3 linked regions of the Mus musculus genome follow. The protein of the gene in region 2 interacts with the protein of the main gene of each other region in a pairwise test. Links are inferred from orthologs where the notes say so. Each region holds a gene or a part of one and is shown on either strand. Other genes may lie near its edges.

Region 1 (4,071 bases), on a different chromosome or scaffold from region 2:
TCTCCAAAGGAAAAAAAAAAGTCAAGAACTTTTCTTATTCTGCTCTTACATAAAGTATGAACGTCCAGTCAGTTTCAGCACAATAACAGATTTCCTGGAGTTTTTATAATTTAATAAACACATCCTTAGTACAAGTCTTAGTTAAGTGACTGTTTCATAGAATGCTGGTCTTTCTCAAAAGATACTTTCTAAGAACTATATTCTAAATTAAAATAAGTGTGACAGAGTTGCTTATACAGTGTGATCAAGAAAGCTGATCTTTGTGGTGGTGAACAATTCTAAACAAATGGATATATAGAGAGGTATTGTCCAAAACAACTATAAAGCAGCCACATATGTTGATTTCTGAGTAAGCAGAAAAGAGTGAGCATTAGGCGTATTAATACTTATAATCTTGGTGGAGAGCTAGCATCCACAGGCAGAAGATATAAAGTATCTACATAAATTACTTCATCAGTGCTGTAGTCGATCCCTATTTTAGATAGTTGATGAAAAAACAAATTTTAGAAATATTTCTTCCCACTTTGCTAATAAAGATGGGTCCTGCTCCCTAGGCATTTATTTGCTTGCCTTTCCCTAGACCCCACCCAGCCTTCCAAACTCAACAAATTTCTGGTGTTGATCGCTCTCTGCTCATAGTAAACAATTGACTTTGTGCTCCTTTTCAGCTATGCAGAATTTAATAAGCAAACAAGTACCTATCTGGGAAGCGCAAAGCACAGACTTCAAAGATCCTGTAATCTGATATTATTACTGTCGTTCTGTCTCGAGGACCCAAATTGGTGTTTTCATTATTTCCTATCTCCTCCATGTGACAGATTTGGTTTTTTGGCGCTCCTGACAGCTAAATTAATCTCTCTCCAAATATTAGACTGGCTCTTTGTTATATCCCGTTTAAGTCACTATGCCAAATCTTCACAGGGTCTCTAAAGTGCTTAGCTTGCTTTTCCAATGGGTTCGCTTCCTCTTCCCCACTGTCTCACAGGCTCTCCTTTCTCTTCCTTAGGTCTTTTTTTTTTTTTTTTTTTTTTAAACTCTCTTACTTATGAGGGGGTATTTAAATTCCAACCCGGAACTTGGGATCGTGCGCCTTGGATGACGGGAGTCGTAGTTTCTGTGACTTCTGGGTAACCGCCTTTCAGGCCGATCCCTGCCCTTCACGAAACCCCACAAATCCCAGAATGCACTCTGGCGGGCCCGCCCCCGGTGCGCAGGCGCCCTGGGGCCGCAGGATTTGAATCGGCGGCGTTGTTATTGACGCCATATTGGGGCCGGCGGCGGGTGGCAGAGTTGTTCCGTGGAGAAGAGAGGGTCGAGTGCATTGCTTAGCTCTGTACGGCCGGGCTACCTCGCAGCTCCCGCGCGTGGCCGCCACTCACGAGCTTCCGTCTGCACCGGCGTGTCGGAGATCGCGTCTGGGTCGCGCCACTGGCCGGGTCCACTTCCGAAGGGAGCGGGTCTCCGCGCAGGAGCCCCGGCGCGCTCAGCCCGAGCGCACGGCGGGGGCGGCCCGGCCTCTCGGGAGCGGCCCCGAGCCGGCGGCGCGACCCTCGCGCCTCGCCCGCCTGCCCTGTCGCGGCTCCGCCGTCCCGGGCCCCACACCCACCGGGCACCTCGGAGGGCCCGTTTGCCCCCGTCCTTCCCGGCCCCGCCCGAGCCGAGCCTCGGCCGCCCGCCACCATGGCGTGCGGAGCCACTCTGAAAAGGACTCTGGATTTCGACCCGCTGCTGAGCCCCGCATCTCCGAAGCGGAGGCGGTGCGCGCCTTTGTCGGCGCCGGCTTCGGCTGCCGCCTCCCCTGCCGCCGCCACCGCCGCCGCCGCCGCCTCGGCCGCGGCCGCCTCGCCGCAGAAGTATCTCCGGATGGAGCCTTCCCCCTTCGGCGACGTCTCTTCCCGGCTCACCACAGGTGGGCCTCGGCCCCGGGGCTGCCGGGGTGGGCTGCGGCCGGGAGCTTGGGTGCGGACACAAAGGGAAGGAAGGGCCTGAACCGAGGTGGGGGTGGTGTCGGCAGGTTGGGTGGGTACGAGTCGGGTTGGCCGGCATTGTGGGGGTCCCTCATTGTGAGGCAGATCATTTGGGGCTAGATCCCTAGAATCGTTTCCTTATGTAGAGCCCCAGCGGAAATGATCAGAGAGGGTGATATTATTCATAAGTCAGGCGAGAGAAGGGTCACATTTCACCCGAATCTCCGGGTCTCTTGGGCTGAATCGATTGGTTGCAGCTATTAACTCAGTGACTGAGTGGTTTGAGGCGAGAAGGCAGCCCCTCCTCCATTTTAGACTTGGCTGGTTTTAGTATAGAAGGGGTGGGGTTTGGAGGGGGATGGATGTCACTGGGGCGAGTTGTAGGCCTGTCATTAATCACCCACAAGAACGCCACTTTGGCTGAGTCAAGACCTGTTTCCCTAGCAGGGTCAACAACAAAGCAAATGTTCTTCCCGAGTACTGTAATGTGATCTCACTATGCGTCCAGTCCTTAAGAGATCCTGAACTTTTAATGAAAAGGAAGGTGTACTTCAAATTGAGACTGACTAGTTTATTTGTAAATGCTTTAGTTATCCCAATGAAGTATGTTGGGAGAAAACAACCTAGCCTCGAGAGTAACGAATAAATCAAGATTCCAGTGGACTTCAGACTTGAAGTCTTGAAACATTTTCTCAAAGTGTCTGCCGGATGGACCTTTGATTGCTTTTGTATACTAAATGTGTACCTAGGGATTTTTTTTCCCCCTCTGCATTTGGAAATCTTTGTGTGCCTTCGGCACAATCTTAGGGTAAACTTTAATGGACTTGAAGTGTAAGTCTGTTTCTTTTGTGTGTGGCATGCAAGAGTGTGTGAGCCTGTGTGTGTAAGCCCTTAGTGATATCATCCTTAAAGCCTTTGCTTAGCTTAAATTTTTTTTTTCTCAGTAATTCATTTTAAAAAGATGGGAACTATAGAGTTCTGTATTTGGTAACATCTATATGAAATTGACTGTACCATGTGTGTTTTTTTAAATGTCACATTTAAATATTCATACCCAAATCCATGGAGAACCTCAGTTACCTAGTCTGGCTCTTAAATTTTTGATATAACGTAGCCAAAAGCTGTTTTATGAGTTGCAGTCACTTTTCGTAGAAATTCCAAGACGTTTATTTAAGGATCATACCTAAGCTGCCCTCCCCCACATATGTGTATAAAGGCACTCCTGACCGAGTTGTTAGAGGAATGGCTCTCAATCTGTGGGCCGCGACCCCCGGGGGAACGCTCCGATATTTGCATTATGATTTATAACAGTAGCAAAATTACATTATGAAGTAGCAACAATAATCATAGGGTTGGGATCATCACTGCATGAGGTACTGTGCTAAAGGGTGGGCTTATCAGGAGCGCTGAGAACCCCCTGCTTTAGTCATTACTGTAAAACAAGGGAACAAAGTGGAGAATGGATTCCTTTTTTTTTTTTTTTTTTTTTTTTTTTGGTTTTTCGAGACAGGGTTTCTCTGTGTAGCCCTGGCTATCCTGAAACTCACTTTGCAGACCAGGCTGCCCTTGAACTCAGAAATCCACCTGTCTCTGCCTCCCAAGTGCTGGGATTAAAGGCGGGCGCCACCTCCGCCGGGCTGGAGAATGAATTCTTGGGGCAGACATTTTTTGTTTTTAATGAAATGCTAAATTTGAACATTGAAATGGTGTCCTATCTACTAATGGAGCCATTTTAAAATAGCTGTAACTAGCAATAAATTTCATTGGAGCTAGTGATAAGTTTGAGAGTTACAATATATCCCTATGCAGTTAAAATAATCTTGAATACTAACACAGCAGGGAGCTATGACACGTTTCTTTACTTAAGGGAGGTTGTTCAGAAACGGTAATGATCTCCCAGTCTGCCATGTCAGTGCTGTAGTGCAGAGTGTTTAAGAGTCTCCACATCTCAATCAGTATACTGTAAAATAACTGGGAGTATTTTTAGTCTTTTAGCCAGCTGATCTAGTTTGACCACATCTTGAAACCTAAAATCAAATCAGCTGGGTGGTGGTGGGGCACGCCTTTAATCCCAGCACTTGGGAGGCAGAGACAGGCGGATTTC
Region 2 (3,563 bases):
CCTGTGCCGCCATGCTCAGCCAGAGTCAGTTTTCCCTTGATCTCCCTCCTGAGCCATTCAAGTCAGTGTGATAAGCAAGCCTGAGCATTTCAGAACCTTGGGCAGAAGGTCCCTGAGGGCCTTACGTGCTGATTTGTCACCTTTGAGGCACACAAGTTAGGGTGCACCTGCGTTAAACAGGCAGTACAGGTCGTAGCCAAAAGAAGACCACGTGGCACTTATAGAGCCTGACTTGGGTGTCACAGCAGAGAAGGCCACTCACTGCCCGAACCCGAGAGTCCCCAATCGCAGCCTCTCAGATCACATTTTCTCACTGGTGGGTTTTCCACCATACACATCTCCAACATCACAAGCACCATGTCACTTACGGACCTGCTGTATGCACGAGAACAAAATTCCTGCAAACTCTTACCTGTATCTCCCCCTCTTCTGCAGCTGGAGAGTTTGGGTCAAAGTGAACTGGCTTCAAGGCTAACTCTCAACTGTCAGAATTCCTATGTGGAGCCACATAAGATCCGGGACATCCCCGTCACCATCATGGATGTAAGTCTATAAATATATAGCCAAGATCATTATTTGGTGACATTAACCATGCTTCTTTCTTTCAACACACCTTGGCCTTTTCAATTCCACAGTAACCTACAAGAGTGACAGACACCCTTGTCCTAGGTGTGCTGGTGAATGCTGTGATCCCAGCACTGCAGAGGCAGAGAGGCAGGAAGATACTGAAGTTGGAGACAACCTGGTTACATAGCAAGTTCTAGGCCAGCCTAGGGATAAATAGAGTGTCCCTGCTCTCCTCCACCAGAAGTTAAAAAATACAGTCTGGAGAGTTGTTGGCTTGGTGGTGAAGAGCACTGCCTGTTCTTGCCCAGGATCCAGGTCTGTTTCCCAGCACCCATGTGGTGGTTCCCAGCCATCTGGAACTCCACCTCCATGGGATCTCAGGCCCTCCCTGGCCAAACACTCACACATAAATAAAGACAAAAAAGCATTGGGGGGGAGGGGGGCAGAACTCAGACTTTTTGTGTGCTAGGCAAGCACTCAGACACTCAGCTGTACCCCTCAAGCCTTGGGTTGGAGTATTTTATTTTCTCACCAACAGATGTCTAAATGTCTAGTGGTTTCACGTGCATATACCCACACAGAGGAACACACATGTACACAGAATTAAAAATAGAATTGTTGGTTTTGTTTGTTTTTTAAGATTCATTCTGGAAAGGTGGCTTGCTGGTTAGAGCACTGGCCATTCTTGTAGAGGCCCCAGGTTCTAGTCCAGTTGCCCACATGGCAGATCACATTGTGATCTGCGTGTGTGTGTGTGTGTGTGTGTGTGTGTGTGTGTCTTCTCAAAGGGTTTCTCTTTGTTAGTGGCTGTCTTGGAACTCTCTCTGTAGACCATACTGACCCTGAACTCAGAGATCCACCTGCCTCTACCTCCCAAGTGCTGGGAATAAAGGCGTGCGCCACCACCGCCCAGCTTCACAATCATTTTTAAGTATGGTTCAGAAGATCTGCCGTCCTTCTCTGGCCTGCATGCAGGTGGTACACAGACATATATGCAGGCAAAACACCTATGAATATCAAAATAAAAATTGAAAAAGATTCACTGGCCCCATAATGTATCTGGATATCATTATCTTAAGGCTGAATGGTGTTCTGTTATATCTTGTGGATGTCTTCATCTGTCAAATGTTTGACTATTGTGGATGTATCAGTTCACATGGGGATGAAAGGCTCTGAGTCCTTGCCTTTTTAAATCTTGTACTTTTGGGGCTGCAGAGAGTGTGCTCATTAGCCGGGAGCACACACTGCTCTAGTAGAGGACGCAGGTTCTGTTCCCAGCACCTACGTGGCTCCCCACAGCTGACCGTAATTCCAGCTGTGTCCTCTTCTGGCCTCCTCAGGTACCCACACACACATAGTGACACACACATAATTCTACTTTAAACTTTTTGAGAAATTGACATAGTGTCTTCCAGTGGCTGTATCATTTTACATTTCCCTCAGTAATGCCCAGGGTTCTGGTTCATTTAACATTCTGACATTTTGGTTTTGAGTTCAGCATTTAATGGCTGAACCATTTCTCCAGCCCCAGAACCTGTACTCAAACAAACAAACAAACAAACAAAACACAACACCAGGCATGGCGGCACATGCCTGTAATACCAGCCTTGGGGAGGTACAGACAGGCAGGTTCCTGGTTTGCTGACCTGCCAGTCGAACCTGCTTAGTGTGCTCCAGGCCATCAAGAGACCCTGTCTTCAAAAACAAATATGATATCTGAGGTTGACCTCTAGTTTCCACATATACACAAAATACACATAGGCTTATCTTTAAAATGTTTTCAAAAAATATTTTGTATGCATGCTTCAGAGAACATCTGAAAGATGTCCAAAACCATGTGTTCAGCTCTTCTCCCAGAAAGAGTCTGAACTTCCCGCCTTTAGTTTTCTTTTTAAAAAAGATTATTTTACTTTCTGTATGTGGGTGTTTTGCCCCCATGTCTGTAAGTGCATCATCTGGCTGTGGGGCCAGAAAAGGGTGTTGTATCTCCTAGAACTAGAGTTACAGACAGTTGTGGCTGCCATGTGGGTGCTGAGACCCTAACCAGGGTCCTCTGGAAGAGTAGCCAGTGCTCTTAGCTCTGAGCCATCTCTCCAGCCCCAAGATTTCATCGTTTTGAAACTGGTATTTTAGTGATTATTCACTATTATTATTTAATTAGCTACATGTGAGCGGCGAGAGACATTTGGCAGCAAAGTCTATAACCTGAGATCTTAAGCTGGAATTAGAGTTTTATTTTTTGGATGGGGATAGGGGATGGGGCCTTACACATGCTAGGCAAACATTGTGCCCCACAGCTGCATGCCCAGCCTCTTGCATTGGAGTTGGACATGACCAGGAACAGCACCAGGAAGTAATCTCTGGCTGCTCTGACACTCAGGAACGTGGGGTAACACTTTTGTACTGACCTAAGAATGCCATGAGATTTCAGCCTTGTGTGTTTTCAAAGGTGTTTGACCAGAGTGCGCTGTCAACAGAAGCCAAGGAAGAAATGTACAAACTGTACCCTAATGCGCGGAGAGCCCACCTTAAGACAGGAGGCAATTTTCCCTACCTGTGCAGGAGTGCAGAGGTCAATCTTTATGTGCAGGTGAGTCCAGCGTGGACCCCAGAACATGTGCGCTTTAGAGACCCCCCCAAGACAGTGCTCCCTAATAGTCCTCCTCTAGATCAGCAGGCCTTGCATCGTACTCTGAGGTAGTGGCCCTTAGTATGGTGTACCTTGCCTCCTGGAGACAGGGAATGCAGCCAGAGCAAGACGCCACATCTAAATGGAATACTCCAGGCCTCAGAAATGACTTCTTGATGTGATTACGTACTAATGGCAAAAATAAAACACCACCTCCTCCTCTCAAGAGATTACTAGACTGGGGTGACGAGTAGCTGCCTTGATAATCTGGCAAGAAGCATCAGGCCCCTTCCTGGTGAGCGAGCCCCATTTAATGCTCTCCGCTACTTGTGGAAGGAGATCCTAAGGAGGCAGTCCTAACATAGAG
Region 3 (4,014 bases), on a different chromosome or scaffold from region 2:
GTCTGGATAAAAATCTGAAGCTCTGGGAAATCGCACTTTCTCATGATTTTAACCTAGTAGCCTAAAAACTAAAATTATGAAATGTTAGACTCATGACTAACACTTACAATAGTCTCTGGGATGATCTGTAATGTCTTTGCAGTAGAAAAACACTGTACAACACGAGAGCACAGCTGGCCATGCCCATCCAGGAGTCACTCGAATACTAACCCCAAACTGGCCGGACAGGATCCGGGGAGCCTGCAGAGGGCAGTATTGCTTTCACACAAGAAAGACCTCTAAGGTTCCTTGGAGGCTGCAGCTGAGAGGTTGCTTTGGGGTGCACTTGTCTGTCTTGAGGCAAGCAGGCCAAAAGCAAAACTTCCTTTTTCCTTGTCCTTTTATATAGGCTGCTACCAGGACGCGTGACCCAGATTTAGGGCGGGTCTTCCAGTCTCAAAAGACCCAATCAAGAAAATCGCTCACAAGCACTACCCAGCTAGCTGGGGTTTTAGCTGATTCCAGACGCAGTCAAAATGACAACCAAGATTAACCATCACCTATGAGCTAAACTATGGTGTTAACCTTTAGAATTAACACACATAATCCCCACTTTATTTCTGTTGACGCTATAGATCTTACAGACCCTTCCTCTTCCTCTCCCTGGCCTGGAACCCAGCCCTCTGGACTTTAGGCTACTGCTGTCCCAGCCTAGAATACTTTCCTCCCCTCCCCCAACCCCTTAAGATACCTCTTGAAACCTGCTCTTTGGCTTTTGCTTTGTTCACAGGTACTGACTGCTTCTGTGCTCAGTTCCTCGTTACCTCCCTCTCTAGGGACTCAGGGAAGCAAGCCGATCTGTGCTATTCGCTAACTTAAGGCCCTCGAGCAGAAAATCCCTAAGGTGCCCAGCTAACAGGAAAAGTACAGGTCACCAAGCAGGTAAACTCTCTCCACTTGAAATCAGAACCGCATCTCAGTAAATACTAGTTACAACAATCATTTCAAAAAGTACAAACAGGTGAAACTCTTTACCCCTCTATTCCGCTCCACCCTTGAGAGGCCTGAACCTGGGATCCGGGTTCCCGCCAAACTTCCGATCCTGCAAGAATAGAAGGGCGACCTGCCACCGTAGGGAAACTTCCTCTGAGCGCCCACCGCCGAGCGTGCGAACTACTCACCGGGTGATGGCTCTGAGAGATGGCAGAGCAAGACAGGCGGCGGCTCTGCGGAGAACAAGGAGGGACCTTCTGGGGAATCGAAACTGAAACTTTGCCTCTCGGGTCTTTAGGGCAGGGCTCGCCTTTGCTCTTCCCTGTCTGTGCAGCGCCCCTGAGCCCCAAACGAGCCAGACGCGGATAGCCATGGCTTCCAGTCCCGACCCGCCGTCCCCGCTACTCGTACGGCTGCGGGAGTCCATCCCCAAGGCGCACAGGAAGCTCGAGATATACTTCCAGAGCCGGGCCTCGGGAGGTGGGGAGTGCTCTGTCCAGCCCGTGGGCCCCAGCGCCCCGGACACCTACGAGGTGAAGTTCCTAAAAAAAGCAGGTGAGCCGGGGCAGGGGAAACAGGGCAAGGCTCGGGTGCAAGGGTAGAACCAGCAGGTTTCCAAACCGATCCCTGCATGCTTCCGACGAGAGCCCACGCGAGTGTGGCTCTCTGTCTGTGGGAGAGTGCGGTCCACAGACTCCCTCCATCCCACAGTGGCGGAGAGAGCCTCGTATGAGTCCAGCCGCTGATGAGGTCGCGGTTCGACTCCATCTGAGAATTTCCCAGCAGACCCAGTTGAGAGAAGAAACAAAGTGTGGGGGTTGGGATTGAGGAGGAAATCCAGAACCTTGTGCACGCTAGGCAAGTGCTCCACCACCGATCTCGACTCCAAGCCATTTTAATGTTGTAAATAAAGATTCCGTTGACTTATTTTTAAGGACTACAAAAGTAATATATGACTTTAAAGAGGAAAGTCAAAGAAAAATTATCTGAAGATAGTTTGGTGGGGTTTGGTTTGGTTTTGGTTTTGGTTTTTGGTGTGTGTGTGTGTGTGTGTGTGTGTGTGTGTGTGTGTGTGTGTGTGTTTGGTTGATTTTAGAGACAGGGTTATTCCTTGTATCCTTGTCTGTCCTGGAACTAGCTCCATAGGCTGACCTCAAACTCGCAGAGATCCTCCTTCCTCTACTGGGATTAAAGGCAGGTGGTGCCACACTAATGTCCTCAATGGGGGCATTTTCATGCATTCTTTTCTGAGAGTCAGCAAATGAATATACATTCTAAACTTTTTGATCTTGTTTCTTTTGGGGGGCCGGGGGTTTCACCATTTAACTATACAATAACCATTATTCAATGTCATTGAAATGAGAGATTCAAAACCATTACAAAACATAGGTTTCCCCACCACCACCCCTTTGAGACAGGATCTTGCCATGTGCCATTGGTTGGCCTTGAACTCATAATACCCCTACCCCTACCACTACCATTTAAGTGCTAGATTGTGAGTGTGTACCAGCATGCCCAGACTAGAAATGTGATTTCTAATAACCAAATTATATTCCTATGCTAAAACTTAAGCTCCCTTCTTTAGAGTTCTGATTAGCTTCTCCTATCACCAGCCTGCTATTCCAGAATGCCAGAAATAACTGTTCAGGTCCTCTGTATGCATTTGACCAGGAGCCTACAACAGATACCACCAAGGGCCAACTTGGTGAACCAATGCATTACTTATTGCATTGGTATTGGTTATTGGATTTACTTACAGGAATATGGGAAACGACTCAAAGGCAACTGCATCACCAAAGCCCACCTAGCATGGGTGACAGCTCACAAAGCTGGGAACCTGGAGCTCACTGCACACCTACAGGCAGCTCAATAGGTTAGGGAGTGTTCTTTCCAGGTGGCTCAGTTGGTCTAAACTTCCTCCTAAGTGGAGCTTAGAGTTCACTTCCTGCAGGCAGCTTCTCTGGTGGTTTAAGTTTTCTTCACAGCTTGTTTTGTCTAAGAGTCTCCTATGCAGACCTTTAATGAGTCCTCACAGCAGCTCTGTTCTGGGAGTCTCAGGAGGACTCTTCCCAACAGTCTCTATTGTTTATTCATTCAGGGAGGGGCCTATGAGTCTGGTCAGTTTCTGGGATTTCCTGAAGCTATTTTGAGTTGTTTACCTTCTTGCTTAAGGAACTTCTTTGCAGGGTGGAATGTTTCAGTCTTGAGAAAATTTACACAACAGTCCCATACCCTATGGTTTATTCAAATAAAGTCTATGGAAGGCGAACCAATGCATTTATAGTAGTGGCACATGCCTTTAATTGTAGCACTCTGGAGGCAGGGGCAGGCAGATCTCTGTGAGTTCAAGGCCACCCTGGTCTACACCAGGAGTTTCAGGACAGCCAGGACTACCTAAGGTCTCAAAAACAAAAAATAAAACAAAACAAAAAAATGAACAACTAAAAAGCATATGTGAGAACATGGGTAGCTTATGTGAAAGTCCTAAGCTTATTAGGGACATCTCTGGAGGTAGCATGCTCAGACGTTTCTAGAATCAACCTACAGGGATACTGAGGATCAGCTATGTAAATTCTCTCTTATTTCTGTGTGAATGTGTATGTTTAATGTCTCCCCTGAAGATAAGGAGAAAGTGTTGAAAAAGAGCGAACACGAGATGTTGGTCCATAACAAACCTGTGACCATTGTCCTGGAAACTACTAAAAAGCCAGTAGAGGACCTGAGACCCAGACTCCCATCCTTGACACAGCCAGTGGAGACACCAAGCTCCAGACCTCCGTCCTTGACGGGGTCTCTGGATGAAGCACTTTGTGATGACATACATCCCCAGGACGGGCTCGTTTCTAACTCTGTTGACTCAGTTGTCCAAAAGGTGAGTGTTGACAGAGGAGCTGATGCTGCCCTGGCATCTGCTCCTCCCTTCCCCTCGGTGTTTTCGGGCAGCCTTGTGCACCCCGGACTGTACAGGGAGGAATGAAGCTTAGTTGGTACAGGTGGATTAGCAAGATCTCAGCCAGCCTGAGTTAGGGAGAAACAGCCTTC

The links.
Region 1: the proteins of Spg21 (region 2) and Akirin2 interact in binary tests that used the Homo sapiens proteins (3 or more experiments, as listed by UniProt). The two-hybrid records come from large-scale screens. The link is inferred for Mus musculus from reciprocal best matches to the Homo sapiens genes SPG21 and AKIRIN2.
Region 3: the proteins of Spg21 (region 2) and Dtx3l interact in binary tests that used the Homo sapiens proteins (3 or more experiments, as listed by UniProt). The two-hybrid records come from large-scale screens. The link is inferred for Mus musculus from reciprocal best matches to the Homo sapiens genes SPG21 and DTX3L.

What each region holds. Positions count from the first base shown.
Region 1 is NC_000070.6:34,549,365-34,553,435, forward strand, and holds the start of Akirin2 (akirin-2), read left to right. Parts: upstream 1-1,250; 5' UTR 1,251-1,680; coding exon 1,681-1,909; intron 1,910-4,071. UniProt on the Homo sapiens protein: Molecular adapter that acts as a bridge between a variety of multiprotein complexes, and which is involved in embryonic development, immunity, myogenesis and brain development.
Region 2 is NC_000075.6:65,481,426-65,484,988, forward strand, and holds part of Spg21 (maspardin), read left to right. Parts: intron 1-435; coding exon 436-543; intron 544-3,016; coding exon 3,017-3,157; intron 3,158-3,563. UniProt on the Homo sapiens protein: May play a role as a negative regulatory factor in CD4-dependent T-cell activation.
Region 3 is NC_000082.6:35,936,207-35,940,220, reverse strand, and holds the start of Dtx3l (E3 ubiquitin-protein ligase DTX3L), read left to right. Parts: upstream 1-1,193; 5' UTR 1,194-1,343; coding exon 1,344-1,527; exon of another isoform or gene 1,528-1,751; intron 1,752-3,593; coding exon 3,594-3,844; intron 3,845-4,014.